7 linked regions of the Oryctolagus cuniculus genome follow. The protein of the gene in region 1 purifies or fractionates together with the protein of each later gene. This does not show direct contact. Links are inferred from orthologs where the notes say so. Each region holds a gene or a part of one and is shown on either strand. Other genes may lie near its edges. The genes, in order: CDKN1A, CDK6, cyclin-A2, CDK14, CCNE1, USP11 and CKS1B.

Region 1 (2,266 bases):
CTGAAAATGGCCCACAGGACGCTCGTCTGCACCCCTCAGCCTCAGCTGCCTCACCTACAAAACGAGGCGTGGGAGTGCGCCTCCAGCCCAGCAAGGAGGATGCCTGCCTCCCACACCAGGGTGCCTGGCTTCTATTCCGGCTCTCACTCCCGACTCCAGTTTCCTGCTAATGCCGACTCTGGAATTCCGGGCAGCCGCTGATGGCCCAAGAAATCGGTTTCCTGCGTTCCATGTGGGAGACCTGGATTGAATTCCCAGCTCCTGCCTGCAGCCCCAACCCAGGCTACTGAGGACATTTGGAGAGGGAACCAGCAGAAGGAAGCTTTCTTTGTGTCTCTTGAATGAATAAGTAATAAATTGCAAATGAGGCTTCTCCGTGGGAGTGCACTCTAAGGAGGAAATCAATGGTCTCTCTAAAGGCTTTGGTCCAGGGCCCGGCGTAATAGGTGACCAAATGCCAGCATCACTCATTCACCTTTCATGGAGCACCTGCTCCACCAGACACTGCTCTCCAGGCTGGGGACTCCACAATGAACAAGAGACGCCCAGATCCCTTTTTTGTGGGGCTGATATGCTAGTGGGAGAGACGGCCCGTGTCAAGGTCAGAAGGAACAGTGGATCCAGGGTAGAAAAATGCCGACGAGGACACGGCGGATAGGTGGGGGGAGGGAGGGACGCGTGTGTGATGAGGGGAGGGAATAAAGTTTGCAGAGGCCAGAATGGCGCTACGGCCAGTGTCCTCTCCCCAGCACACGCCCTGCGCGACCTCAGGCCAATCTCTCCCTCTCGGAGCCTCGTCTCCTTGGAAGGGGAGCAAGATTGTCTTCAGTCGCTCAGCAAGGACTGCCGGGTAATAAATACGCCCTGGACAAACGCTGGCTACAGCCCTGTGTGCAGCCTCACCTAGGCGGCTTCCCTTCTCGGGGACAAGCTGAAGCAAACAGGACAGGTCCCGCATGGGGGGGTTCCGAGGGCCCCAGTCCCCCCTAGCATCCCTCCCCACACCCGACCTCACCTGTCAGGCTGGTCTGCCGCCGCCGTTTCCGGCCCTGAGAGGTACCAGGCCCGCCTGGGGACTCCTCGGGCCGTTCCGGGGAGCGAGGTACCAGGGTGCAGGTCAGCGACAGGTCCACGTGGTCCTCCTGAGCCGCTGGCAGCAGGGCGGCTGAGGTGCTCGGCCGCTTGCACCCTGCCGGGTCCTCCCTGCCACCCCGGGGCCCCGGGGCCAGGTAGAGCTTGGGCAGACCCAGGCCCCGCACGCGCTCCCAGGCGAAGTTGCCCTCCAGCGGCGTCTCAGTGACAAAGTCGAAGTTCCAGCGTTCGCGGGCCTCCTGCAGGCAGTCGGCCATGAGTGCGTCGCAGTCTCGGCGCAGCTGCTCGCTGTCCACGGGCCCGAAGAGGCGGCGGCAAGCCTTGCTCCTGTGCGGGGGCTGTGGCGCCTCGTCCGACGGCTGCGACATGCTGCCTAGGGCTGGGACAGTGGAAGGGTGGCCTTGGTGAGGACGCTTCCCGGTTCCCAACAAGGACTTTCTACCGCACCCTGGCTGGGGCGGGGCATCCACCCCCACCCCCCAACAGACCCCAGGTGGGGGCAGAACTCAGCCAGCCAGGCACCCTGACGTCAATGGGGGCATGGGCAGCACGGGGCGAGCTTATGTCCACAGCATGACCTCACTGCAATGGCCTGGCCGGGAGCAGGGTCCTGTTTGCCATCAGCGTTATCAGCTAAAATCAATTTGTCCTCCCCTGAGGTGGCCCTCAGGGGTGTGAATTGCCAGAGTCCAGTAGTTTCCCAGTGATAGTCCTGGCCAGGAAGTCGGTTCCCAGAGGGAGGCGTAGGCAGGGGCTCCTCCAGCCTCCCAACACAACCTCCCCCATCATTCCTGCCTGGAAAAGTGAACCCCGGGCTTTGGAGTAAAAACACGCAGGCTGTCATCCCAGCCCCACGGCTTCCCACGTAGACGTTGCATGTCTCTGGGCCTCCGTTTCCTGGTCTATGGAAGCTGAGAGAGTGCCAGGGTGGGGGCAGGAGTCCCTCCAGGCAGGCCGAGCAGCAGCAGGTGTGACAGGGGCTGGGTTGGAGGGCAGGCTCCGCGGGGCGACCCCGACCAGTGGCTTAGCGTCTCTGCGCTCCCCTTTCCTCCTCTCTAGGAAGAGGCCGGTGACAGCAACAGTCTCAGAGGTGGGGGACATGCTTGGGCAGCACCTGGCCAAGGCGCTGAGAAGACCGTGGTGTTAGGACGCCTCTGTGCCTGCAGCTCTGGCT
Region 2 (3,990 bases), on another chromosome or scaffold:
TCCCGGGAGCCGGGGGGCCACGGCGCCGCGGACGGCCTCGCGGGTTGGGGAAAGGGTGGCGAGGGCAGGCTCCGGGGGGCGCAGCCCCTTCCCCCTCGGCCCGGGAGGCGCAGCGTCGACGCCCCCCGCCCCCACCACCCTCTGGGGAGGTAGCGTTCGGCTCAGGTTGACCTGGGCTGGAAACTTCGGGGCGAGTCGGCGGTCCTGGTGTCTTCCTCCCCGCGCTGAGTCCCGGAGGCGGACGCCCCTCGCCCCCACCCTCGGCATCCCACGTGGGGCTGCCCCTTCCAGGGCCTCCGGCTCGCCCACCCCGGCGCAGCCCAGCCCGCCCCGACCAGATGGCTGATTCTCCCGGGGTTTCCACCAGGGAGGTCCCTCGGAGTCGGAGGCAGGATTGCGTTCCCGGCCGAGGCGCCTCGGCCCCCGGCGAGACCACGTACGTGTGCGCCGCGTCTTTAAAGGTCTCCCCCTTAGAAAAACTGAAAGTAGAAAAAGAAAGGAAGCAATTTCCGAGCAGATGCGTGACGACCCCTTCTCGCACCCTGCCCGGCCGCGGGCTCCGGGGTCCCGGGAGCCCCCACCCGCGTCCAGGCCCCCGGGCGGCGCGGCGCGCGAGGGATCCGCGCGGAGCCGTGACATTGACGCGCCCGGCGCCTCCCCTCCCCCGCGCTCCCGGCACACTCCGGGCCGCTCGGCACGCCCCCTCCCGTTGCCCTGCGTCCCGCGCGGCGCGCTCATCCCCGAGGGGCCCCTGCAGCCTCGCCGCGCGCAGACGGCTGCAGCCCTGCGGGGAGAGAAAGTGACCTCGCTTTGCTCGGGAGGAGCCAGGCAGGCTTGGGCGGCGCGGGAGAGGGCCGGGCGCGCGTGGGGGCGCCGTGGAGGAGGGGAGGCTGCAGGAACCCCGAGGAAGGCTCCCGGGCGGTCTGACTTGTCGTCCTCTCTCCTGTCCCCCGTTTCAGTCGCAAAGACCCCGGACCGAGACGCGCTCGGGTGGAGACTATGTGATCGCCTCGGTGTCGGTGCGGAGGACTTCGCTTCGGGGAGGGAAGAGGAGGGCTCGGCTCGCTCCCCGGCGGCTCGGCAGGCGGAGTTTCGCCGCGGCGGCACCAGGGTTGCGCCAGCCCGCGCCGGAGCCGGCGGGGCCGAGGAGAGCGGGACCGAGCTCCGGGGAGCCGCGGCGTGCAGGCGGCATGGAGAAGGACGGCCTGAGCCGCGCCGACCAGCAGTACGAGTGCGTGGCGGAGATCGGGGAGGGCGCCTACGGGAAGGTGTTCAAGGCCCGCGACCTCAAGAACGGAGGCCGGTTCGTAGCGCTGAAGCGCGTGCGGGTGCAGACGGGCGAGGAAGGCATGCCGCTCTCCACCATCCGCGAGGTGGCGGTGCTGAGGCACCTGGAGACCTTCGAGCACCCCAACGTGGTCAGGTGAGCCCTGGGGTCCGCGCCGTCGGGGGCCCGGGGAGGTGCGGGCTTCGCCGGCGCCGTGCCGCCGGTGTTTTCTCCCCGACCGCCCCGAGGGCCTTGCGGGGGAGGCCTTGGGGGCAGAACCAACAGACCTGAGACCACTGCTGCTTGCGTTTCCCGGCTTCGGGGGATCTTTCTTTCTTTCTTTCTTTCTTTCTTTCTTTCTTTCTTTCTTTCTTTCTTTCTTTCTTTCTTTCTCTTTCTCTCTCTCTCTCTCTCTCTCTCTCTCTCTCTCTCTTTCTTTCTTGCGACTGCAAAGGAGAGGGAGCAGGTTGTCCGTGTGATAAGCGAGGAGAAAACTTCTAGGGTGGAGCCTTGCACAAATGAGGTCTTTAAAAATGCAGAAACGGATAAGAATATGTTTGCTAATCACACCCAGTTTCTCTGTATTAAAGTTGCACAATGAGAATGGCTTACTGATGATCCGGGGAGTCGCCCAGTGGCAGACAGCATCGTCCCAGAGCTGTCATCCTTCTTGTCCGTGCCACTTCTCTCTGGGCTGGCATAGCCCCTGGACCACCGCTGCCAAGGGATGGGTGTCCAAGGTGTGGTGGCTTTAGATTCTCAGTGCTCTTTGTCCTTGCTTTTCCTGGGTGACTGGCAGGAGTGGGGTACGCAGTCAGTCCCTGAAGTCTCTGCTGTGCTGTGACCGGTATTAAAGATATTAAATGAAACTGTGTGTGTGTGTGTGAGTGAGACTTAGGGGAATGGTGGGTTCTTGGTGATCCTGGAATCGCCCCTTTGCGCAGTTGACTGTGTGTGCGTTTGTGTCATCTTGTTTTTAAACAGAGGAGCTGCATGGCTTCAGGTCACAAAGGCATGCACGGAGGCAGAGCGGGTTGTGGACTCCTCACGCGTTGGGAGAAGGAGGTCCCAGACCCTCCTTCCGCGAGGCATTGTGCTCAACACTTACGTGCCTGCTGCGTGCGCTGCGGATGAAGTGATGTAAATAAGCATGGCTAAATATTTTTGTGAAAAGTCAAACAGTTTAACATTACTCATCAAAACGGAGCGACCCGAGAATGACCTGAAATACCAAACCCTGGACAGGCTCAGGGAGACCGGGTGCCTGCAGTCTCCGTGGGAGGTTCTGACCTGCCTCTTCTTACCCTAGGCTGGGTGATTGGTGTAGTGTTTTGTTCCCAAGACAGTGAAGACTCAGGCTGGAAGGCAGCAGAGAATCATAAATACATAAATAAGGTAGTAAATGACTGTAAAGATAGGACTCCATTATACCTCTCCATCAGCTTGTCAAGGGTGGAGGTCGAAGATAAAGAGACTGGGAGAGTGTTTTGGGAGGTGGGCTTACATATTAAAGCGACAGGTTACCTTTTCTCCGTGTTTTTGAAAAAACTAAACAAACAAACAAACAAAAAAACAAAATACCCCTGGAGGGTGTGTTTGTTGGTATCAGAGTGGGCGTAGAGGGGACAGTTAGCTCCCTCTAACTTAGTACTTTCCCTAGGGTGTCGCCTAAGCCCTTCCAAAGGGTGACTTCACCAGTAGAATTTTGAGACCAAGATTTCTGGTTTTGTCCCATCCCAGGCAGCTGCCACATCTGACCTTCCAGCATGGGGGTGTTACAGAGGCACGCTGGTGGTACTACCACTGTTGTTAACGAGGCAGGACTCGCTCTCCTGACGGAGGAGAGCTCGCGCCCCGTGCTGCCGCGCTGGGGCCCCTCCGTCCCACCCGCGGGGTGAAACCTGCTGAGGCTGGTGTGTCTTCAGAGATCTCTCACTGAGCCACAACTGAGATTCTGCACTGCAAATGTCAGGAGGATTTACTTAACGAATCAGAAGACACCTTTTTCTAAGACTGTCTTTGCCTGTTGAGCGGTGCGGTGCCACCCACCCCTTGGAGTTGGTAGTTGGTGAGGGTCAAGTGAGACGCCATGTGTGAAAACACTTTGTGCATCTAGAAGCACTTCAGGTGTCTACACATTGTGTTCCTGAAGATTAGTGGGACGCGCTTGCCCAGAACAGGTTCCCAGCAGGCATCAGTGCACCTGGCCTTTTTATTTTTTTTTCCAAGAACAAATCATATTCATACCCTTAGATTACAGGCTTCGGAGCCACAGGGGCTACTTGAGTACAGTGAGCCTGTAGTTTGTCCACAAAGGCTGTCAGTCATATGCCATGAAGCTCAGTGACACTTGAGGAAATTATTGATGATGTCACCCTCACGAGCTACAGATCTCTCTTCCTGTTTCATTTCCTTCCTGTTTCTTCTTCCACCGCTGCCTTGGGACGACCACTGGCTCCCATGATCGCCACACTGAGCACACTGAGCAGTAACGGATTTCAGAGGTGGCTACTCTGTTCAGGCAGAGTCAGGAAATCAAGGACAGGTGACGGCAGTTCTTCTCTGCGGAGAGGGAGAGAGAGAGTTGTCAGTTTGACCCCAAGCCTGTGATTTGTTGCTGCCCCCAGGATCAGCTTTACAGGCTGATGCTTGGTTCTTTAAATGTTTCTTAAAAGGGCAGATGCCATTATAAGTGCCTCCAAGTCATAAGTAATTGATCGTAA
Region 3 (3,901 bases), on another chromosome or scaffold:
TATGACATGGAGATTTTGAGGTGCCCCTCTCCTTCCCTGCTGGATGGATGTCCGAGAAGACCAAATACAGAGTTACGACTTCAGCTAATCTTAAAAGTAACAAGGCAAACCATCCCCTGAAAGTGTCAGAGAAGCCACATGGGGATCAGTAATGAGGCAATTCTTCCACATCCAGCCTGAGTAGTATTAGTAGGTACATAGTGGAGAGTCTTGTCTTCTACTACTGCCCCACACTTATAAAGAGTACCCCTTCCCCAGTGTCAATGGAGGCCAAGCTGCTGATAATAAGATGATGTCCTTTCCCCATTGGAGTAGCGTCATAGGATCCTGCCATATCAAATATTTAAATGAGATCAAATGTCTCACAATATTAATCACTAATATATCAAGAATTTAATTTTAATAATCACTTATGTTAAAAGGAAAACTAGGCTATTCTCAATTAGAGTGAGAAAACATGATCTAAAGATGTTGACACTCAGGGTTGTCTAACAAGGATTTTGTAGACTCTACAATAAAAATACTTCCACAATAATCATGAATATACTTGGAACAAATATAAAAAACATAAAGTTTTAGCCAAAGAAAAGAATATATAAAGAAGAAAATATATTTTGAAATAAAATATTCAATAACTAATATTTTGAAAACTCCATGAATGGGCTCAACAGTGGAATGGGAGAGAAAGAGGAAGCAATAGTGAATTGGATTTTTTTTTGCCCTCCGCGCCCGGCAGCGTTTGCCTGCGCCTCTCGCAACCTCCTCGATCCTGCGCGTTCCGGAGACAGGGGAGCGAGCGGGAGGGCTGGCAGACTGGCCCGGGCTGCGGCGAGGGGCTACGGCTGGAGCGTTCCTGGGCGGGATCGGCGCCGCTGGTCGACTGGGCGGAGTGTGCACGCTGCTTGGCTCGGCAGACTGATCCCGCCGCCAGCTCCCTGGAGCAACGATGTTGGGCCACAACGTGCCGAAGCCCGCGGCCGGCGAGGCGGGCTCGGCGCTCCTAGAGGACCAGGAGAACATCAACCCCGAGAAGGCGGTGCACGCCCAGCAGCCGCGGGCCCAGGCTGCTCTGGTGGTACTGAAGGCTGGGAACTCCCGGGGTCCAGTTCCACAACAGAGGCCCACGACGCGACGGGTTGCACCTCTTAAGGATCTTCCTATAAATGATGAGCAGGTCTCTGTTCCTCCTTGGAAAGCAAACAGTAAACAGCCTGCATTCACCATTCATGTGGATGAAGCAGAAGAGGAGCCTCCCAAGAGGCCCACGGAATCTAAAAAAGACAAGCCTGAAGATGTCCTGGCTTTTAATTCAGCCATCACTTTACCTGGACAAAGAAAACCACTGGTACCTCTTGATTAGCCAATGGATGGTAGTTTCGAGTCACCATATACTATGGACATGTCAATTGTATTAGAAGATGAAAAGCCAGTGAGTGTTAATGAAGTCCCAGACTACCATGAGGATATTCACACATATCTTAGGGAAATGGAGGTTAAATGTAAACCTAAAGTGGGTTACATGAAGAAACAGCCTGACATCACTAACAGTATGAGGGCTATCCTCGTGGACTGGTTAGTTGAAGTAGGAGAGGAATATAAACTACAGAATGAGACTCTGCATTTGGCGGTGAACTACATCGATAGGTTTCTTTCTTCAATGTCTGTGTTGAGAGGAAAGCTTCAGCTTGTGGGCACTGCTGCTATGCTGCTAGCCTCAAAATTTGAAGAAATATACCCACCAGAAGTAGCAGAGTTTGTATACATTACAGATGATACCTATACAAAGAAACAAGTTCTGAGAATGGAGCATCTAGTTTTGAAAGTCCTTGCTTTTGACTTAGCTGCACCAACGGTAAATCAGTTTCTTACCCAATACTTTCTACATCAGCAGCCTGCAAACTGCAAAGTCGAAAGTTTAGCAATGTTTTTGGGAGAATTAAGTTTGATAGATGCTGACCCATACCTAAAGTATCTGCCATCAGTTATTGCTGGAGCAGCATTTCATTTAGCACTCTACACAGTCACGGGACAAAGCTGGCCTGAATCATTAGTACGAAAGACTGGATACACTCTGGAGACTCTTAAGCCTTGTCTCATGGACCTTCACCAGACCTACCTCAAAGCACCACAGCATGCACAACAATCAATAAGAGAAAAGTACAAAAATTCAAAGTATCATGGTGTTTCCCTCCTCAACCCACCAGAGACACTAAATGTCTAACAGTGAAAGACTGCATTTGTTTCTAAGATGTAAATCACTCAAAGTATATTGTGTACAGTTTTTATCTTGGGTTTTGAATGTTACAATCATTTCTGAATACAGAAGTTATGGACAAGAACAAATTATGGTATCTATTACTTTTTAAATGGTTTTAATTTGTATATCTTTTGTACATGTATCTATCATAGATATTTGGCTAATTTTAAGTGGTTTTGTTAAAAGTATTAATGATGCCAGCTGTCAGGATATTAAGAATTAATAAATTGATTTGGAAAATTTTATAAGTCAAATTTAATTTGAGATAAAAACCTGACTTCAAGATTTCTTAGAAAAGTTACCTGGCTTATACAGTACAGTGGGGAGTGGAAAGCCACTCTCTAAAAAGTTGACTTTAGGAAAACAGACCCTCAATGTTCTAATATCCATTTTCCTAAGCAACTGGATCAGTCTGCCGATTTCTGCACAATAAATCTGTGCTTATTTACCAGTACGATGAAAATCATTCTTCTTTGTACACACACAGCAGCCTATCAGATTATTTTATTCCTCATCAATTTTTACACTTTACACATACACAGGTTGGGGAATAAGGCTTTGAGATGACAAAATTTTCAGAGAAAAAGCTCTAGAACATTCACTTTAATGTTAAAAAAATAAAACTTAGGGATTTGTGAATAAATGATACCCAGGTTGTTAGCACTGAATAAATACATCTAATAGTTATATATACAAATATACAACTATGTTAGCTTTAATTAGCAGCTCTCTTCTTTTTTCTCTTTTTCATTGGCTTTTTACTTGGTGCTTTTTCTTGTTTCCCAATGGTGGTCTGTGTTCTGCGGATAAAGTAAAATAAATTAACAGTTCACTTAATTATGCTTAAGTTTTGGATCACTGAAATAGGAGGTCTTTTATTTTTTTGCACTAGGGTACAAAATGTGACAGCAGGAAAAGTAAATACAGTAACCCTGAAAGGTATCCAAAAATAGTTTAATAGAGAGTTAGGTGCTAATTTTTATTAATTACAGGGTGAAAAAAACACATAATAGCTGATGAAAAAGGGATGTCTGTGTATAACAGTTCTGTAAGATGAGAGTCAAACCAGAGAGCAAGCCTCAAACTCTTAAGTTACATGTACATGTTTGAAATAAACCAAAAACTTGTTACCTTAAAAAAAAAATAGTGAATTGGAAAACAAATCAATAGAAAAATTACCTACATGGAACTAGCATTGTGGCACAACATATTAAGCGACAACTTACAATGCTAGCATCTCATATCAAAGTGTAGGTTCAAGTTCCAGCTGCTGTTCTTCCAATCCAGCTCCCTGTTAATGTTCCTAGGAATGCAGTGGATGATGACCCAAGGACTTAGGTACCTGCCACCCATTGGAAAACATGATGAATTCCTGGCTCCTGGCTTTGCCCTAGCCCAACTCTGAATATTTTGACCATTTGATGAATAAACTAGTGGATGAAAGATCCCTATATATATTTCTTGCTCTTGCTGTGTGTGTGGGTGTGTGTGTGTGTGTAGATCTGAGAGAGAGAGAGACACAGAGAGAGGGAGACTCACTCTCTCTGTCACTCTGCCAATAGAATAAATAAATGAATAAATATTTTAGGAAAAAAAAGAACCAATTTTAACAAAAATATAAAAGAAAAAATAATAGGAAAATTT
Region 4 (4,225 bases), on another chromosome or scaffold:
CAGGGGGCTAGTTTTTGTCTTCAGATAAAAATCTCTGAACTCCCCCAAACTTCCTTTAAACCAAACAGCATTGTCCCACCCGCACAAGGCCTTATCACACAGCCGGATGACTCCAGATCACTAACATTTCTATTCTTAAGGACTTTGCTGGCCTCAAATCAACGCCCTCCGGCCCCACCCCTCTTCCTTCGCGCTCCCCAGGGCACCGGCGTTCGCAGCTCGCGCCACACCACGACTGCGTGGGCTTGCCGCCGGAACTGTTTGTCCTGGGATTTTATAAACCTCCCCCGTCGGGTCGGTTCATTCTTTTGAGGTTTTGGGAAACGGAGGTCAGGATCGTTTTCAGCCGGCAGGTCTTCCAACTCGGAAACACACTGTCCGAGTGAGGTGTCTGCAGGCCGAGGGCCGCTGTTCTCTGCACCGACGAGCCAGGCGTTCTAGCCTGAAACCCCTGCACCTGCAACCAGTGGGGAGGGGCACCGCACGACCCCCTGCCTGCGGGGGGTTAGCGTGGAAGCTTCCGTGTCCGCGCTCGACCTCCACAAAAGACGGGCCCACTTTTCCCTCTGGGGCGCGCACTTCACAACGTCGTCGGCATAAAAGGGCAATAATAATAACGGTCACCGCTAAACCTCCCTGCGGCCTCCCCCGCGCACCGCCCGCGCGCGTCGGAGCCAAGGAGACCACCGCGCCAGCGAGCAGCTCCCTCACACCCTGAGGCGCGGTCCGGGACGCGGCCCTCGGCGTCGCGGTCCCCGAGCCCCCGGGAGGGGCGGCCGGCCGGCCGGCCGGGTGGGGGCGCCGCCGGGGCGCGAGCCGGCCCGCGAGGGCCGCGGGGGCCGCGGGCTCGCAGCGCGGTCGCGCCGGGGTCCCGCGCCCCGGGGGCCTCCGCGGCGGGGTGGGCGGGGCGGCGGCGAGGGGGCGGTTCCGCGCCGCCGGCTCTTCCTGCCTGGCGCCCGCAACTCGGGGCTGAGAACTTGTGCCCGCACCCGCAGCGCCCCGCGGCTCCCGCACCGCGAACGGGCCCGCCCCCGCCTCCGCCTCCTCAGCCTCCGACTGCGGCCGCGCCGCCCCCCCTGCCGGCCGCCGGCCGCGCTTCGCCCGCTTTACAAAGGAGGGAAAAATGAGCCGGGCGGCGGCGGCGGCGCGGCGCGGGGCCACCTCAGCGGCGGCGAGCGCGGCCGCCCCCGGCACCACGTAAAACACCCCCGCCCGCCCGCCCGTCAGCCCCGCCGCGGCCCAGGCCCGAGCAGAGCCTGCCCGGCCGCTCGCCTCCCGAGCCCTGCGCGTCGCCGCCGGCCGGGGAGGAGGCGGTGAGGAGGACGAGCCGGAGGCGCCGCCTTCCCGCGCCGCGCGCCCTCGCCGTTGTCTGCGCTCCGCTCTGGACCAGTTTGAGGGAAGTTGCCCGGGCCCCGCGTCGTCCAGATGTGCGACCTCATTGAGCCGCAGCCGGCCGAAAAGATCGGCAAGATGAAGAAGTTGCGGAGAACTTTGTCGGAGAGTTTCAGCCGCATCGGTGAGTGGCCAGCGCCCCCCGCCCCCCACCCCGGTCCCGCTCCCCTCGGCCTCGCGCCCCGACGCCCCAGCCGGGCAGCTGCCGCCCGGGCAGGGCTGGCGGGAGGCGGCGACCCGGGCGACGGCGCAGGCGGGAGGGGAGACCCCTGCGCCCCCTGACCTGGCTCCTGCGTGGATGGCTTCAGACCCGGGGTTGGGGGCGTCCTCCCCATCCCGTGTGCTCGCTCCTGGCGCCCGCGGGCGCGGGCGAGGGGGCTCCGCCGCCCCGCAGCGCGCCGGGGTCTCGGGCTAATTGTCGCGCTGCGGGCTTCGGTGTCGGGTGCGGAGGCTAGAGATTCCGCTTTGGAAATTGGCGGAAGGCTGGGCCGTGCCCTGGTGCTGTTTAACCTAGCGACGCACAGGGAAGTGGGAGAGACACCTGGAGACCTTTTGTTCGGCACTTGCTGTCCTAGAAAGCGAGGTTTGGCGGTGCCAGTGCCGAGGTCCCCTGATCGCCCCGCAGCTGGAGGAAAAGGCGCGCCGGGAAGTTCTCCGGACGCCTAGGAATTGAGGCTCCCGGTTCGGTCTGATTCCTGGAGCCGGGGGCTATTGTCTTGTAACCGACTAACAAAAAGCCCCAGAGGAGGGTTTGGGATGGTTAGAACCGTGTCAGGCCGTGCATGACGGGGTGACAGCGGTGTCACGTGGAACGTGTGAACTCGATTTTGACTTTTGGCACAGAAACCCCCTTTTAGCTGCAGATCGTAGCTGCCTCCCCAGCTGTCATAACTTTTCACCGATGCAGGTACCTGCTCTCGGCGAGCAGAGAAACGACCCCCGGGGTCCCTAGGAATCCTTTGGCCTTTGTCTCACGTTAATGAAGTGAAGCAGAAAGGTGCTAATTCTTAGAGTGAAAACCTGGGGCGAACAGGAGTGCTGCCGTCATCCGTCCACTCACTCGTTGTAACATATGCAAACTTTGTTCAAGTGAGAGAAAACGGGGGTCAAGATTGAGTCAACATTTGTCCCCCCCCCCCCCCTTTGGTTGTCTTCTGACTTCAGGTTTCCCAAGATGACTGTAACGTTATGCTGCAAAACCAAAATTGGCCCGGGTTTAATTCACTGTGTGTATGCGTTTGCAGTCTCATCCGTCATAGTTAGGGATGCTCAGGGAGCAGTCCCTACATTCAGATGAAGTTTGGAGTTAGGGAAGTGTGAGACTCTGAGGTGTTGAGTCCTGTGCGTGATTAACCGGAGTGTCTCAGCCCCCACCCAGACCATCACAGAGTCCATTAAGCTCTGTTCTAACACACACGAACTGTATTTACTAATGCTAATGACTGTGTTGGAGGCCCTCCAGTTTTATGTTAAATAATTCATCCCAATCGAGTCTCAGTAAGAAACTAAGGACATTAGTATAAAAATTCCTTATGTTTAAATAATTTCAAGGTTTTGATTGACAATCAGTAAAATTTGGATTAACTGCAGTGCTGGCAAATGGGGGTATTACAGTTAATTGGATTTTCTAGCTTACTGAGATTTAGTGATGTGAAACTCTTTTTGAGTCCAGCTCTTGTTAAAAATGTCTTAAGATCTAGTGGATTTTATATGCTCCCTTCAGGAAACAGTTTGGTGCAGTGAACATGACTGATTATTTCTTAGAGTGATGGAGGGTCGTGATTCTGAATAGCGGGTCTCACTGTGGAATGCTCTAAGAGGAGATACTGGAATTGTAAGTGATTAGAGTTGTATCCCAAGGTCAGCATACTTGTTAGAAATAGCATCACAGAAAAATAAAACTTATGTACTTATTTTCTTTTCTTTTTGCAACACCAAAAGTGATGCATTCATTCTCATTGATTAAGGACCTTCGAGGTACTGGAGGCTGTTGAGTTGAGGATGATGCTGGTGTTATGGGATTGCATGAGTTAGGAATGTAAGCTGTGTGTTAGATGGACTGGATAGTCCCCATGTTGCCACTCCTAGCTGAGTGACCTTGGACAGGTCCCCTTACTTCCCTGAGTTTCACTTTTTCCGTATGTAGCTAAGTGTTGTGGTTGGTACTTGGTGAAACAATACATAATAAAGACTCAGATGTTCTCGCTGTGTTATTGTTAGTTTCATCAGTGATTGTATTGTGCCGACATTGCCCGGCTCACAGAAGAAGGTGAGAGAAGGGGGACACAGTGGTCACTGACTTTGTGGGACAGCCAGCCCTCAAACAGGATGGGCTTGAAGTTTGGAGGCAAGCCTGGGCTTGAACCTCTTTTTCCCTGCTTACCTTGAGCAACCGGTAGTGTTTCCTTCAACTCCAGAGTCCTCCTCTGTGAGTATTCATTTAGTTGTTGTGAAGTTGGAGTTGGATAGAAAGATAGCATATCGAATGCAGTATTTGTCACAAGGTGAAGATCAATTTAGAAGCTGTTGTCATTCCTTCTGGTTTCTGCTTATCCTTTCTACGTGGGTACTTAATGGGGAGTTCAGAGAAAATGGCTTATTCCTGTTGAATAATCCAGCATTGCAATGTAGTCGTTTCATTTAACCAGTCTAAGATGGCTTTTGAAACAAATGTGCTGACTTGACTTTTCTTTTCTAGTGTGATTCAGAACTGTAGCTTGTTATATAGTGACATGTACATTATCTTTGTTTATCTATAAGAAATTACTAAAACATTCATCTATAGAAAATGAGGATAATGTTAAAAAATGGATGATAACCAATGGGTGTTTAT
Region 5 (4,045 bases), on another chromosome or scaffold:
CCAGTAGAGATATGTCTCTCTCTGCCTCTTTTTCCACTCTTTCAAATGGATAAAATTTTTAAAGTGTGTTTCATACACCTAATCTGCCGAACATCACAGCTTCTCCATGCATTCATAAATACAACTTGGGTGTCCCCCTTCTTCCAGGCACTACACCAAGGGCTGGGGGTCCCCGCAGCGAGTAGGGCTGAGGCAGGTGCCCTCAGTGACCCGAGGACTCCGAGGCAGAGGCAGAGGCAGGGGCAGGGGCAGGGGCAGGGGCAGGCGCAGGGGCAGGGGCAGGGGCAGGGGCAGGGGCAGAGGCAGAGGCGGGCTCAGAGCTGAGGGGCAGGTTCCAAAGCCCTGAGGTGAGAACGGGCAGAAGGCACATAGGGGAGCTGTGAGGGGCCATGTTGGAGCCAGACTTGGAGCCAGAGGGCGAGGGAGCTCCTCTGAGCCTCAGATGGGTGGCAAGCACCCGGAAGGTTTTAACTGAGAGATGGTTGCACAGGAAGCCCCGGGTCAAGGAGGCCTTCTGCCGCTCTGGCTTCTGGGGCAGGGCCCAGATGGAAGACCGTACATGGAAGGTGCTGGAATGAGTGGAACGAAGGAAAGAACAAATGCACTGGCAGACGGACACACACAGAGGGCACCAGACGCGGCTCCCAACGGCCCAGGTTCTAGGCCCAGGCCCCGGGCGCTGTGACCTTGGGGACATCCCCGCCCTGACACGCAGGGCCCGGAACCCGGCGTCTCAGGGGCGGGGAAGACGTGCCAGGCGGGACGGTGCGCGCGCGGCAGCGGCGGCGGCGCGCGGCAGCCCCGGGGACAGCGGGTGCTGTGGGCCGCACGCTCTCCCGCATCGGCCACGCCAGACGCGCTGGGCCCGAACCCGGCCGCTCGCCGTGTTTACATTCCACCCGCGCCCGCCACGCGGCTTGCTGCCACTCCGGCGCCGCTCGGCCCCGCCCCTCCGCGGCGCTCGCGCCAGACTTCTCCCGCGTTGCGCCCGGCGCGGCCCCGCCCTTCTCCGCGCGCGCCGGCCCGCTCTCCCGCGTCCCGCCCCGCGCAGGCCCCGCCACGGCCCTCTGGCTCCGCCCACCACGTCCCGCGTCCTGTCCGTCTGGCGCGCAGGCCCTGTCACTTGGCCCCGCCCCTCGCGGCATCTGCGCGAGGCCCCGCCCCGCGGCCCGCCCCCGGCGGTAGCCCCGCCCCCGCGGCCCGTGCACCTCGCTGGCCGGCGCGGCGGCGGAGGCGGTTCTGAGGGCAGCCGCTGGGCGGGCCCGCGCCCTTGGGCTGGCTCTGAGGGGCTCGGAGCCGGGACGGGGCGGGGCGGAGGCTGCGGGGAGGCGCGAGGGCGGGCCGGGGCCGGTTCCGCGCGCAGGGATTTTTAAATGTCCCGCTCTAAGCCGGGCGCAGGAGCAGCCGGCTCGGCCGCCAGCGCGGTGTAGGGGGCAGGCGCGGATCCCGCCACCGCCGCGCGCTCGGCCCGCCGCCGCCTCCCGGCTTTCCGCTCGCCTGCCGCTTCCAGCCTCCTGGCTCCTGCCCCGGCTCGTGCGCCGCTGTCTGCCGCCGGGACGGCTTCGGGTAAGCGCCCCGCCGCGGGCTGCTGGGACGGGCGCCGCGGGGCGACTTCGCGAGCGCCCGACCCGGGCCGGGGTGGGGGTGGGGGTGGGAGTGGGGGTGGGGCGGGTCGCCGGGTCCCGGGGGCATCAGCGCGGGGTGCCCTGGGGCAGGGTGGCCCGGAGATGGGGTAGGGAGAGGTGTTGAGGGGAGGCTGAGGCAGCCCCGGCCCCTAGGGAGGTGATGGGTTGGCGGGGGGGGGGGTCTCGGGATATCCAGGGCCTTCCCCATCCCGGGCTCGGACCCGGGATCGCAGGCTGCGGGCGGCGCGGCGGGTGACAGGCCACCCCGGGCCCATCGGCCATTTTCCCGGCCGGCCCGGGAGGCTCCCGCCGCCGCCGCCACCCGCGCGGGAGGGGGAGGGGTGCCCGGGGCCAGCCCTTAGGCTCTGGCCCCCGCGGCCTGCGGCGCTCACCTCGCTGCCCACTTGGTGCCCCCAGGCCCGAGGTGCTAGCTGGAGCCCCGCGCCATGCCCAGGGAGAGGAAAGAGAGGTGAGTGGCCCGGCCGCAGTGGGACAGGGAGGGTGTGCGGCGGTGGGGGAGGGGCGGCCGGGGTCGGGGGAGGGCTCACCCCTGCCTCGGTGCCACCCTGGCTCTGCAGGGATGCGAAGGAACGGGGCACCATGAAAGACGACGGCGGCAGCGACTTCTCTGTCCGGTCCAGGAAAAGGAAGGCAAATGTGGCCGTTGTGAGTACAAAGGAGACAGGTTGGGGAGAAGTCCTAACCCCTCCATCTTACCTGGGTACCAGGCTGGGGTTTGCCTCGGATTTGCTGCAGGGGGTTGAGGGTGTGGGTGGGCTCTTTGGGGCAGAAACGGTGCTCACACTCTAATCGACTATCCCCCCTTTTCTCTGTGTGTTTTTGTCTTTGGGTTGTTTGGTGTGCGTCCTTGGGGGGTGGGGGTGGTTCTGTGTTAGTTTTTGCAGGATCCAGATGAGGAAATTGCCAAGATTGACAGGACTGTGAGAGGCCAGTGCGGCAGTCAGGTAGGTGTGCTGGAGGCTTGGGCCTGCCTGGAGGGCCTCCCACCGACCCTGAGTCCAGAGGCCTTCCCAGGTCTCCTCTCCTGCTGAGGACCCTGGCTTAGAGTTCTTCCCTGTCCGCACCCACAGTGTGCCCGAGCATGCGCTGGTCTTGGGATTCCTGGCTGGTCCTCTCTGAGGGCGCATGGTGTGCCGGGAAGACCCAGAGTGGACCTGGAGTCCTCTCTGTCCTCTCCTGTGGCCCAGGAGGAAGCGGAGTCCTGTGTGGGGGCAGCGTTGGGCCCACCACCTATTCCCCACAGCCAGTGAATTCTGTGTGTGTGAGCAGCCACCGCTCCTCTGTTCACACCTGTGGCTTATGGTCATGGTGCTTTAGGACTTCTCCCATCCCCTTTAGGTCAGGTTACAAACTGCTTCCCTTTCTGGCCCCAGAAATTCTCGCAGCCCATCTAGCGAGGACCTACATGGATCCGTGCTGCCCGGGCCTTGCCCTGGCTACAGCAGGAGTGTGATGTGTGTGTCTCAACGCTTTCCTTATTGACGACTGCATTTGTCTTTCCCCTCCTCAGGGAGTTCCTGCCAACTTCCCTGCATGCAGCGTGATATCGTTGTAATATCAGAAGTTCCGTGCAGAAAGAGCTTGCATTATCTCTTTACCTCCAGAAATGGCTGGAGACTGTAGTTACGGCCCCAGTGTGGGAAGGAGCCTATCTCCAAGCTAGCTGGTCAGGCCTTCTGACTCTGCCACTGATAAAAGCTGAGCGGGACGCGCTTTGACCTGAGCACACTGCCCCAGCTAGTTTAGCAGTGGGCAGCACCTCGCTTTGTTGAGATCAGGAGCCATGCGCCTGGTTTCAGGCATGAAGGGCTTCGAAGGGTGGGCCACGTTGTTGCAATGGCATTTGTCACTGTGCTAAGACTCCACTAAGCACTTCTGGGGAGGACCCAATGACTATTGAAAAGGGGTGGATTTCCTTGTCTGTTGGAAATACTTAACTCTAGCAAAGGAAACAAGACAGCACATCCCCAAATATTCTCCTTTTTTCCCCCATTTAAAAAAAAATAAACTTTTAATCAAGCAGGTTGATTTTGTGGGTGTTGTAAAATGAATCTGTACTTGGTGAAATTCAAGGTAAACCCCAGGGGTGTTTTGAAGAGAAGACAAATTTGCAAGTGAAGATGAAGCAGAGCCATCCATGCTGAGTTCTTGGAGTTTTGTTAGAGCTGTGTCTGTTCTCAAGGATAACCTGAGCAGCCCTGGGGCGCCCGAGACAGGGCTGGCTCTGCCCTGGATGTTAGGGAGGTGATACCTGCGACACAGGGATAACCAGGCCATCTCCATGAGAAGGCGGGTTCATGGTTGTGCATGCTCATGTTAGCAGGTTTCTGCACATTTTATGGAGAAGACAGCTTGAAAATTATCCATGTGTCTTTGGTATTTGGAGTTTGGGGTTACAA
Region 6 (3,500 bases), on another chromosome or scaffold:
ACTTTTAGTGACAAAGGAATTTAAAAATCATCTATTAAAAAAACACTTTTCCAGGATCAGCACTGTAGTGCAGTGAGTTAAGCCATGGCTTCCAATGCTGGTATCCCATGTTGGAGCACGCGGCTGCTCTACTGATTCAGCACCCTGCTAATGCACCTGTAAAAGCAGCAGACGATGGCCCAAGTGCTTGGGCCTCTGCACCTACATGGGAGACCTGGAAGAAGCTCCAGGCTCCTGGCTTCAGCATGGCCAGCCCTGGCCGCTGCAGCTATTGGGGAGTGAGCCAGCAGACGGATGATCCACCCCCGAACCCTAACTCTGCCTTTCAAATTAAATAAATAAATAAGTAAATAAATATTAAAAAAAAAAAAAAAACACTTTTTCAGGGCCAACACTGTGGTGCAGTGAGTTAAGTGGCTGCTTGCAACAATGGCATCTCCTGTTAGAGCACTGGTTCAAATTACAGCTGCTCCACTTCCGATCCAGCACCCTGCAAATGTGCCTGGGAAAGCAGCAGAAGAGGCCTGAGCCCCTGCCACCAACCAGGGGGTCCTAAATGGAGTTGCAGGCTCCTGACTTCTGCCTGGCCCAGCCCCTGGCTGTTTAGACCATTTGGGGAGTGAACCAGCATTTGGAAGACCAATCTGCATCCCTCCCTCCCTCCCTCTCTCCCTCTCTCTCTGCCACTCACCTTTCAAATACACAAATAAATAAAAACACACACACAAAAAACCATTGCTTGGCTTACAAAGAACTTTTCTGCTCACAAAGCATGTTTAGTTTTTACTCAAAAACTGAAACAGATTTAAAAGTTGTTCCAAATGCTCCTGTGTTCAAAAATCATCTTAGTGTTCTGTATTTCAAAACCCCCTTTTTGTTCTGAAGACTTCAACAGAGTAAGGAACTCAGCTCAGAAGGCACAGAAGGAGCCCCGTGAGTGCTCAGTGAAAGAAAGGAACAGCGGCTTCCCTCCCATAATGAGGAAGAAAACACCCACAGACACCCTGTATTAAAGCTGTGTCCCTCAACACTCGCCTCGCTGACAGCACACACACGCCCCGGCCCTGCCACAGCACATGGCCAAAGGTCTACGCAGGGTGCCCGGCGAGGGAGGCCGAGGAAGGAAGAGGGCAGGTGGTGAAGGTAGAGCCACTACAAAGCAGCAGACCAGCTTCCCAAGGAACCAGCGTCTCCCCCTGGGCCCCTCACTCACACAAAGATGTCATCCCGGTCCAAGATGGTGCTCAGAGAGTCCTCCAGCTGGTAGAGCTTATAGAAGCGGTGGCTGAAGACATCGGCCACCATCATCTGAGAACAGGATAGGGGGACACTGGTCAGCCCGCAAGGTGTCCCCTGGCCCTTCTGCCTCCCCACCCTCTGAATCCCACCCCCGTGGGGCCTCCTTCTGCAGTCTCACCCTATCTGGTGCAATACCGGTGTGTTTGGACAGAGCCACGCACAGATCTGAGATGTTGCCTTTCTTGGGGACCACAACGCGGTGCTGAGGGGACAAAGAGTATCCACAAAAGATCAAAAGGGTCTGTGGTGAGCTGACACAGCGAACCTTAAGGTAGGGCACAGTGCCACGCTCCTGACCACCTGTCCTTCCCTGCGTCTCCCCATACCTGCTCGGGCTTGCGCCGGGGATCCATAGGGATGAAGAAGACCTCCATGACCCTCTTGTGGCTGACAGGAAGTGGGACACTGAGGTAGCAGAACGGGTCAAAGGTCACAGACACATTGCCACAATCAGGGCACACCAGAGTGGACTTGAAGAGGCCGTGGAACGTGTCCACGATCACAGAGTCGTTCCGCCGCTTGTGGTTCTGCCAGGCCTCCTGAGCCACCTCCTGTTGACAGGGTCATGATGGTGTGCGTGTGGCGGGAGGAGGGGCTCGCCCAGGGCAGGGCAGAATCATGGTTTCGGGTGGATTTGTACAGGGTTAAAGGGGAGGCTGCTGCTGAGGGCCGGCAGCACAGTTACAACTAAGCACATCTACTGCTCGCTCCGAGGGCTGGAGTTTATTTGGGGCAGGAGCTTGGGTTGGGGACAACTCTGAGCAGGTGCAGAGGCAGATATGGTGCTGGAGCTACGGGCCGAGACTGAGGCTGGAGTGGACGTCCAGGGTAAAGGAACTTAACAGCAAACAGGGGGATGCTGGGTACTCGGCGGCAGGCCAGAGAACTCCCGAGGCAGAGGCCGTGGGGGCTTCCGTGGGACTGAGGAGCACCCACCTGATCTGGCCGCCCAGCAGCGTCGCACAGCTCCACGTACTCCTTCTTCTTGACCCGGTTGAGGTCCTCATGCAGCCCATCCAGGAGGAATGACAGCAGCTCCTGCGAGTCGTGCTGCTGGTAGCCCAGAAACTGGGAGGCAAAATGGCCGACTTTGTTCTAAGGTGGGCAGGGCAGAGAGAGTGTGAGATGAGACGGAGGGAGTCAGCAGAGGCAGGAGGGGCGGCGGCGGGGTGAGGGCGCCCCAGGGTAGCGCCGCACCTTGAACACGTGCGGCACGATGGAGCGGTGGTGGCCCGACCACGCCTGCTTCACCAGGTCTGCGTAGGCCTCTGCGAGCTCCCCCTTCATGCCCAGCGGGTTGCGGAAGTTGAGCTCCTCCAGGTAGCGGTTGTTGAGGAAGTACTCAGTGAGCTGTGGCACGTTGCTGAGGCACTGCAGGGGCGGCAGGGCCAGGAGAGAGAGGAGGTGGCCAAGGTGTGGACAGGGAAAAGGAAAGAAAGAGGGAAGAGAAAGGGAAATCGGGAAAAAGAAGATATTAGTATTGCCCGAGGAGGAAGTGGTGGGAGGGGGTAGAGGGGAGGCTAGAGAAAGCAAGGGACAAGCAGAGAGCGAAGGGATTGGTGTTTCAGGGGTGCATACGGGCATGCTGACGCAGGCTTGTGAGGCCTGAGCTTCCAACCTGAGCCCTTGCCCCAGCCCCCTACTCTGTCCCCAGGTCTTGCCACCCACCCTGTGGCAGTGCCAGAAATGGTTGTAATGGCCAAACCTGTAGGGCTGAGTTCATGAAGCACGTGTTGCCCAGATTGGTAAGACCACAGATGCCCGGCTGGCCCTGGAAGTCCTCATCTTCTTCCGCTATGCTCCTGAGTTGGATGAGAAACGTGTCAGCGGAAGGCCTACTACGTATGGGGACGAGGGGCACATGGGTGCAATCACTTGGCTGACTGTGGGCCACCCCCACTGTGGACCAACCACCCAAAGGCTTACATGACATGCAGCTGCGCGCTGGGCCAAGTGCCATCTCTGTTTCGGGTCTCCATAATAATCAGCTGGGTTGGAAAAGGAGAAAGAAGGGATGCAGAGGCATTCATGGAGGGCCTGGTGGGCACTTCCTCCTCTCTTCCCCCCAGCCTACCTGAGCAGAAAAGTCCTCCCTACTCTTACCTGCCCAGACTCTAGGGCAGCGTCCAGCACTGTGACGTGTGGGTCACACAGGCGATCTAGAGTGCCTTCTGAGTTCTTGACCCAAAGCCGCGTGTCCA
Region 7 (4,165 bases), on another chromosome or scaffold:
ACTGGAAGTTCAGGTGATTGGGTGTTGGAGGGGGGAGCCCAGCAGGGAGGAGGCGGGAGGAGCGGGAAGGGGCAGGAAATGGCGAAAGCCTGAGGAATGTTTCCAGCAGGGAAGGCAGGACAAGTGGAGCCAGGAGGAATGCCCAGACAAGAATTTTGGCTGGGGGTGCGGGGGATGGAGCCAAACAAGTAGAGGCTGAGGAGTCCCTTAAAAGAAAAAAGAAAAAAAAACAGGATACAAATCCCTAACCCCATTGCAAACCACCGTTTTCTGGTAGTACAAAGTTCTCTCTCCTGTCACGTCCTCAAGCCACACATCAGCAAATCCACGGCCCTGTCTAGCCACAGCCTCAACCTACAGCTGTTTCTGCGGTGGGCTGGGAAACTATGAGCAAGCCTCTGTCCCGTCCTCGGGCCAAACCCCAAGCCCAGGCCCACCCTTGGGGGAGGATAAGGCTGCCTCTAATCTCACTCCTCAGAGCTCCCACCTAGTGGAGCGGGAAAGCCCTCGGGAAAACTGAGCCCAAGGCCCCAAGAGAGAAAGGACAGGAAACGTAAGCAGGTGGAGCTTCTGAGACTGAGGAAACTGGGGTGATGACTTGGGTGCCACCCGGATCGAGTTCCTTAGGGGGCGTGGCCCTCTAGGATGCGCAGCAGACTTCCAGGAGATGAGGCTCCGGGACAATCGGACGTGGATTGCGGAAGGGGCGGGGCTTCTATGGGCGGGGCCTATCGAGGGGCGTGGCCTCAGTGAATTCGAATCGTTCTTTCAAGAGCAGAGCTTTGCCCTTTTGGGAGATAGGATCTTTGACAGACAGGAGTTAGCGGAGAATCGTCGCGAGGAGGAGGCGGAGTTTGGAAGAACTGGGAGGACTAACGAAGCGTTTCTTGTGGAGCTGGAAGCATGTCTGGGGGTGGGACTTCCAGGAAAACTGGGCTACAGGGAGGGGTCGGAGACAATAAATTTAAAAACTGGGGTTCAGGGAGCCCCCTGAAGTTGGGAGGTGGGACTTCCGGAGAGGGGGTCTCAGGGGCGGGACTTAGCAGTGAAGACCGGAAGTGGGGTCCCGGGAGAGGGGTTCCGGGGTGGAGGAGTGGGTTGCCTAAAGAGAAAAAAAAAAGTGAAAACTCACCAGGGCCTCATGGGGTCTCCGCACCGCGCCGCGGGCCGATTTGGTTCCGGATCACGCCACTGCCTGCTTAGGTCGCCGCTCCAACTTTCTCCCCGGCCCGGCCTCCCTGGAGAAACTTTATTACACTCACTTCCGGCCTCACTAACCCCTGACCCTCTACCTCACGGTCCCTCCTTCGCCCCGCCTAGTTTCCTGAATCAGCCAATGGTAGCGCGAAGGCGCTCACAGGCGCCGCGATAACCAATTAGAGGCCTAGCTCTGACCCAAGTTTGTGCTTGAGAAACGTAAGAAGCGCACTCCAATAAAGACTGGAGGAGAAGCAAATCCTAAGCCAATAGGAGGCTCGAAGGTGGAGCTGTCCCGCCTTGAGCCCAAAGGACCAATGGGAAGTGCGGGCGGTGTGTTTGAAAGCGAGGCCAAAGAGGGTGGGAGCGCGTGCTGCTGGGAGTTGTTTGGAGGTTGGCAGCGCGGGGCTGACGGCCCGCAGGCAGAGCGATCATGTCGCACAAACAGATTTACTATTCGGACAAGTACGACGACGAGGAGTTCGAGTACCGGTTAGTGCCGGCGGGGGGCCGTAGCGAGGTCGGGAGAAGAGAAGGCACGAGGAGTTGGTAGCGAGGATGGAGGCGACAGAGGGGGCGCATGCGCAGGAGACCAGCGGGGGTGGGTGTGAGGTTGGTGGAACGCGGAAGGCGCGTGCGCGGGGGGTGGCCGGCGCCCTGGAACAGTGGAGTCTGGAGTCAGCCCCCGGTTGAGGGGAGGCGTGATGAGTCCGACCACCTTCACCCTGTGGGTTTCTGGGTCTTGGTCTCAGCTTCACTGGGAGCTGCTGTGGAGTCTACTGGGTGAAGGTGTCAGCAGCGGAGCTGGCCTTTTCCTCGCGTTCTCACTGCGAGCGGTGAGAATGCTGAGGAAGTTAATGCTGCTTATTCTTGGGGAAGGAAAGAGGCGTGGTTGTCTGGCTTGTTTTAGGACGGGGGCGTCGAGGACCGGGCCGGGGATTAAAGTGCCGAGAAGCACTGAGAACCAGTGGAGTGCGTGCAGGTTTCACTTGTTTACTGGATGTGAGCATCTCACGGTCTTTAAAATTCTGAGCAAGAATCTGGCAGACGGCTGGAAGAAGGTGGTGGGCCTGCGGAGCCCGGGCCGTGAGCGGGGCGTGGTGGGGACACACAGCCTGGCAAGGAAGGGGCGGGGGCTCCCTGGAAGAGCCCTCAGGTGACACTGTAGCAACGAAGGGAAAAGTACAGCTTGACCAGAATTGTCCCGGAGGTACTGGATGGCCAGATGCCCAAGATGGGGGAGCGTTTGGGTTTGATAAGTTCTGAGCCCATAGGAATATTAGATTGGAAAAGGAGGAAAGACAGAATTCTACAAGTGTTGTCGTCACACTAATCTGTATCAATTGCAATATTTAAGACGGCTTGCGGCTTTTATCTTGCCTCCTGGAATGGAGGGGGAAATGGAAGCTTGGTTTTCTCGTGCCTTCCCTCAGCCCGGTTCGGGCTGTGTTTACAGACACATAACCAGCTTCAGGCTGGGATCATCCTAGATCCTTCTCAGACTCCATTCCTTTTATTTCCCTCAGCTGTTTTCCTCTACATCCGAACTAAGCGAACTCCAACTGTATGCTTATGACGTGTTTGCAGGGCTGGGAGACATCACTAGTTTCGTCCCTGGGAAGATGTAACTGTTAGTTTGGCAGTGGCGTTTTGGTTTAAGAGAGGGGTTTGTTTTGTTTTGTTTTAATGTACTGAGGCCAGATTTTGTGCCAGGGGCTGGTTAGAATGTCAGCTATTTTCAGACATTTAGACTAGAATTATCTCTTTAGGAAAAAAACCTCTGATAATTAGTGCTGAGGGAGCATTTAGGACATTTTTGTTGCGTGTGATGAAGTGTATCTGAATGAGTCCAGTTCCAGTCAGAGGAGTCATTTCTTTGCCATGGAGACTCATCCTTGGTCAGAGAATCAAGTCTCATGGCATGCCCCTTCAGAGTTAGGAAAATGAGATTCAAGATTTTTGAAAGAAGACTAACAGTTCACCTCTGTGATGTGTCTTCCACACCCCACTTTATCGATGTTAACATTTCATGCTCTTTGTAGGGCCTGTTACATTGTGGGTAATTACTAGAAAACCCTAAGATCCACAAAGGCACAGAAAATGAACATCAACAGTGCCTGGCACTCAGTCACTGGAAGTACTCATTCGCACTCTTTAATATACCCTTGCGAGGAGCCTTGTTGTGGCATAACGGGTTAAGGCGCTACCTACAATGCCATACGGGCACCAGTTCAAGTTCTGGCTGCTCCACTTCCAATCCAGCTCCCTGCTAGTGTGTCTGGGAAAGCAGCAGAGGATGGTCCAAGTCCCTGGGCCCCCGTACCTACATGGGAGACCCAGATGAATTTCCTGGCTTCTGGCTTCAGCCTGGCCCAGCTCTGCCTGTTTTGGCCTTTTGGGGAATAAACCAGCAGACAGAAAATATCTAACTTTGCATTTCAAATAAATAAAATTTAAAACTATATATATAGTCTTGTGAGAATTTTTATAACTTGGCCTATATTTTCAGCTGCCTCTACCCCACAATAAGATTGTATAAACTCAAAGGCCGACACTGTGGCGTAGCGGGTAAAGCCACTGCCTGCAGTGCCAGCATCCCATATGAGTGCCGGTTTGAGGCCTGGCTGCTCCACTTCTGATCCAGCTCTCTGCTGTGACTTGGGAAAGCAGTGGAAGATGACCCAAGTCCTTGGGCTCCTGCATCCATGTGGGAGACCTGGAAGAAGCTCCTGGCTTCAAGATTGGCACAGCTCTGGCCATTGCGGCCATCTGGAGAGTGAACCAGTGGATAGAAGAACTCTCTCTCTCTCTCTCTGCCTCTGCCTCTCTGTAACTCTGCCTTTCAAATAAATAAATCTTTAAAAAAAAAAAAAAAAAAAAGATTGTATAAACTCCAGAAGCCAGTTTCTCTTTTTCCTTTCTTGGCTTTATATACAGGCACTTGTCCAACAGGCTGTATCCAGTACTA

The links.
Region 2: the proteins of CDKN1A (region 1) and CDK6 purify together in Homo sapiens (affinity purification with western blotting; 6 studies listed by BioGRID and IntAct, counting the BioPlex papers as one, with this or other methods). This does not show direct contact. The link is inferred for Oryctolagus cuniculus from reciprocal best matches to the Homo sapiens genes CDKN1A and CDK6.
Region 3: the proteins of CDKN1A (region 1) and cyclin-A2 purify together in Homo sapiens (affinity purification with western blotting; 11 studies listed by BioGRID and IntAct, counting the BioPlex papers as one, with this or other methods). This does not show direct contact. The link is inferred for Oryctolagus cuniculus from reciprocal best matches to the Homo sapiens genes CDKN1A and CCNA2.
Region 4: the proteins of CDKN1A (region 1) and CDK14 purify together in Homo sapiens (affinity purification with mass spectrometry; 3 studies listed by BioGRID and IntAct, counting the BioPlex papers as one, with this or other methods). This does not show direct contact. The link is inferred for Oryctolagus cuniculus from reciprocal best matches to the Homo sapiens genes CDKN1A and CDK14.
Region 5: the proteins of CDKN1A (region 1) and CCNE1 purify together in Homo sapiens (affinity purification with western blotting; 19 studies listed by BioGRID and IntAct, with this or other methods). This does not show direct contact. The link is inferred for Oryctolagus cuniculus from reciprocal best matches to the Homo sapiens genes CDKN1A and CCNE1.
Region 6: the proteins of CDKN1A (region 1) and USP11 purify together in Homo sapiens (affinity purification with western blotting; 4 studies listed by BioGRID, with this or other methods). This does not show direct contact. The link is inferred for Oryctolagus cuniculus from reciprocal best matches to the Homo sapiens genes CDKN1A and USP11.
Region 7: the proteins of CDKN1A (region 1) and CKS1B purify together in Homo sapiens (affinity purification with mass spectrometry; 3 studies listed by BioGRID and IntAct, counting the BioPlex papers as one, with this or other methods). This does not show direct contact. The link is inferred for Oryctolagus cuniculus from reciprocal best matches to the Homo sapiens genes CDKN1A and CKS1B.

What each region holds. Positions count from the first base shown.
Region 1 is NC_091436.1:132,894,521-132,896,786, forward strand, and holds part of CDKN1A (cyclin-dependent kinase inhibitor 1), read right to left. Parts: intron 1,472-2,266; 5' UTR 1,461-1,471; coding exon 1,016-1,460; intron 1-1,015. UniProt on the Homo sapiens protein: Plays an important role in controlling cell cycle progression and DNA damage-induced G2 arrest. Involved in p53/TP53 mediated inhibition of cellular proliferation in response to DNA damage.
Region 2 is NC_091447.1:42,948,090-42,952,079, forward strand, and holds the start of CDK6 (cyclin-dependent kinase 6), read left to right. Parts: upstream 1-1,190; coding exon 1,191-1,423; intron 1,424-3,469; exon of another isoform or gene 3,470-3,829; intron 3,830-3,990. UniProt on the Homo sapiens protein: Serine/threonine-protein kinase involved in the control of the cell cycle and differentiation; promotes G1/S transition. Phosphorylates pRB/RB1 and NPM1.
Region 3 is NC_091435.1:65,355,125-65,359,025, reverse strand, and holds cyclin-A2, read left to right. Parts: upstream 1-1,363; coding exon 1,364-2,221; 3' UTR 2,222-3,401; downstream 3,402-3,901. UniProt on the Homo sapiens protein: Cyclin which controls both the G1/S and the G2/M transition phases of the cell cycle. Functions through the formation of specific serine/threonine protein kinase holoenzyme complexes with the cyclin-dependent protein kinases CDK1 or CDK2.
Region 4 is NC_091447.1:45,005,334-45,009,558, reverse strand, and holds the start of CDK14 (cyclin-dependent kinase 14), read left to right. Parts: upstream 1-1,425; coding exon 1,426-1,516; intron 1,517-4,225. UniProt on the Homo sapiens protein: Serine/threonine-protein kinase involved in the control of the eukaryotic cell cycle, whose activity is controlled by an associated cyclin.
Region 5 is NC_091449.1:26,436,176-26,440,220, reverse strand, and holds the start of CCNE1 (G1/S-specific cyclin-E1), read left to right. Parts: upstream 1-1,245; 5' UTR 1,246-1,566; intron 1,567-1,651; exon of another isoform or gene 1,652-1,732; intron 1,733-2,042; 5' UTR 2,043-2,071; coding exon 2,072-2,094; intron 2,095-2,203; coding exon 2,204-2,291; intron 2,292-2,521; coding exon 2,522-2,590; intron 2,591-4,045. UniProt on the Homo sapiens protein: Essential for the control of the cell cycle at the G1/S (start) transition.
Region 6 is NC_091453.1:32,773,003-32,776,502, reverse strand, and holds part of USP11 (ubiquitin carboxyl-terminal hydrolase 11), read right to left. Parts: coding exon 3,403-3,500; intron 3,288-3,402; coding exon 3,226-3,287; intron 3,102-3,225; coding exon 3,005-3,101; intron 2,671-3,004; coding exon 2,497-2,670; intron 2,395-2,496; coding exon 2,236-2,394; intron 1,851-2,235; coding exon 1,626-1,850; intron 1,502-1,625; coding exon 1,418-1,501; intron 1,309-1,417; coding exon 1,214-1,308; intron 1-1,213.
Region 7 is NC_091438.1:43,534,876-43,539,040, reverse strand, and holds the start of CKS1B (cyclin-dependent kinases regulatory subunit 1), read left to right. Parts: upstream 1-1,365; 5' UTR 1,366-1,630; coding exon 1,631-1,689; intron 1,690-4,165.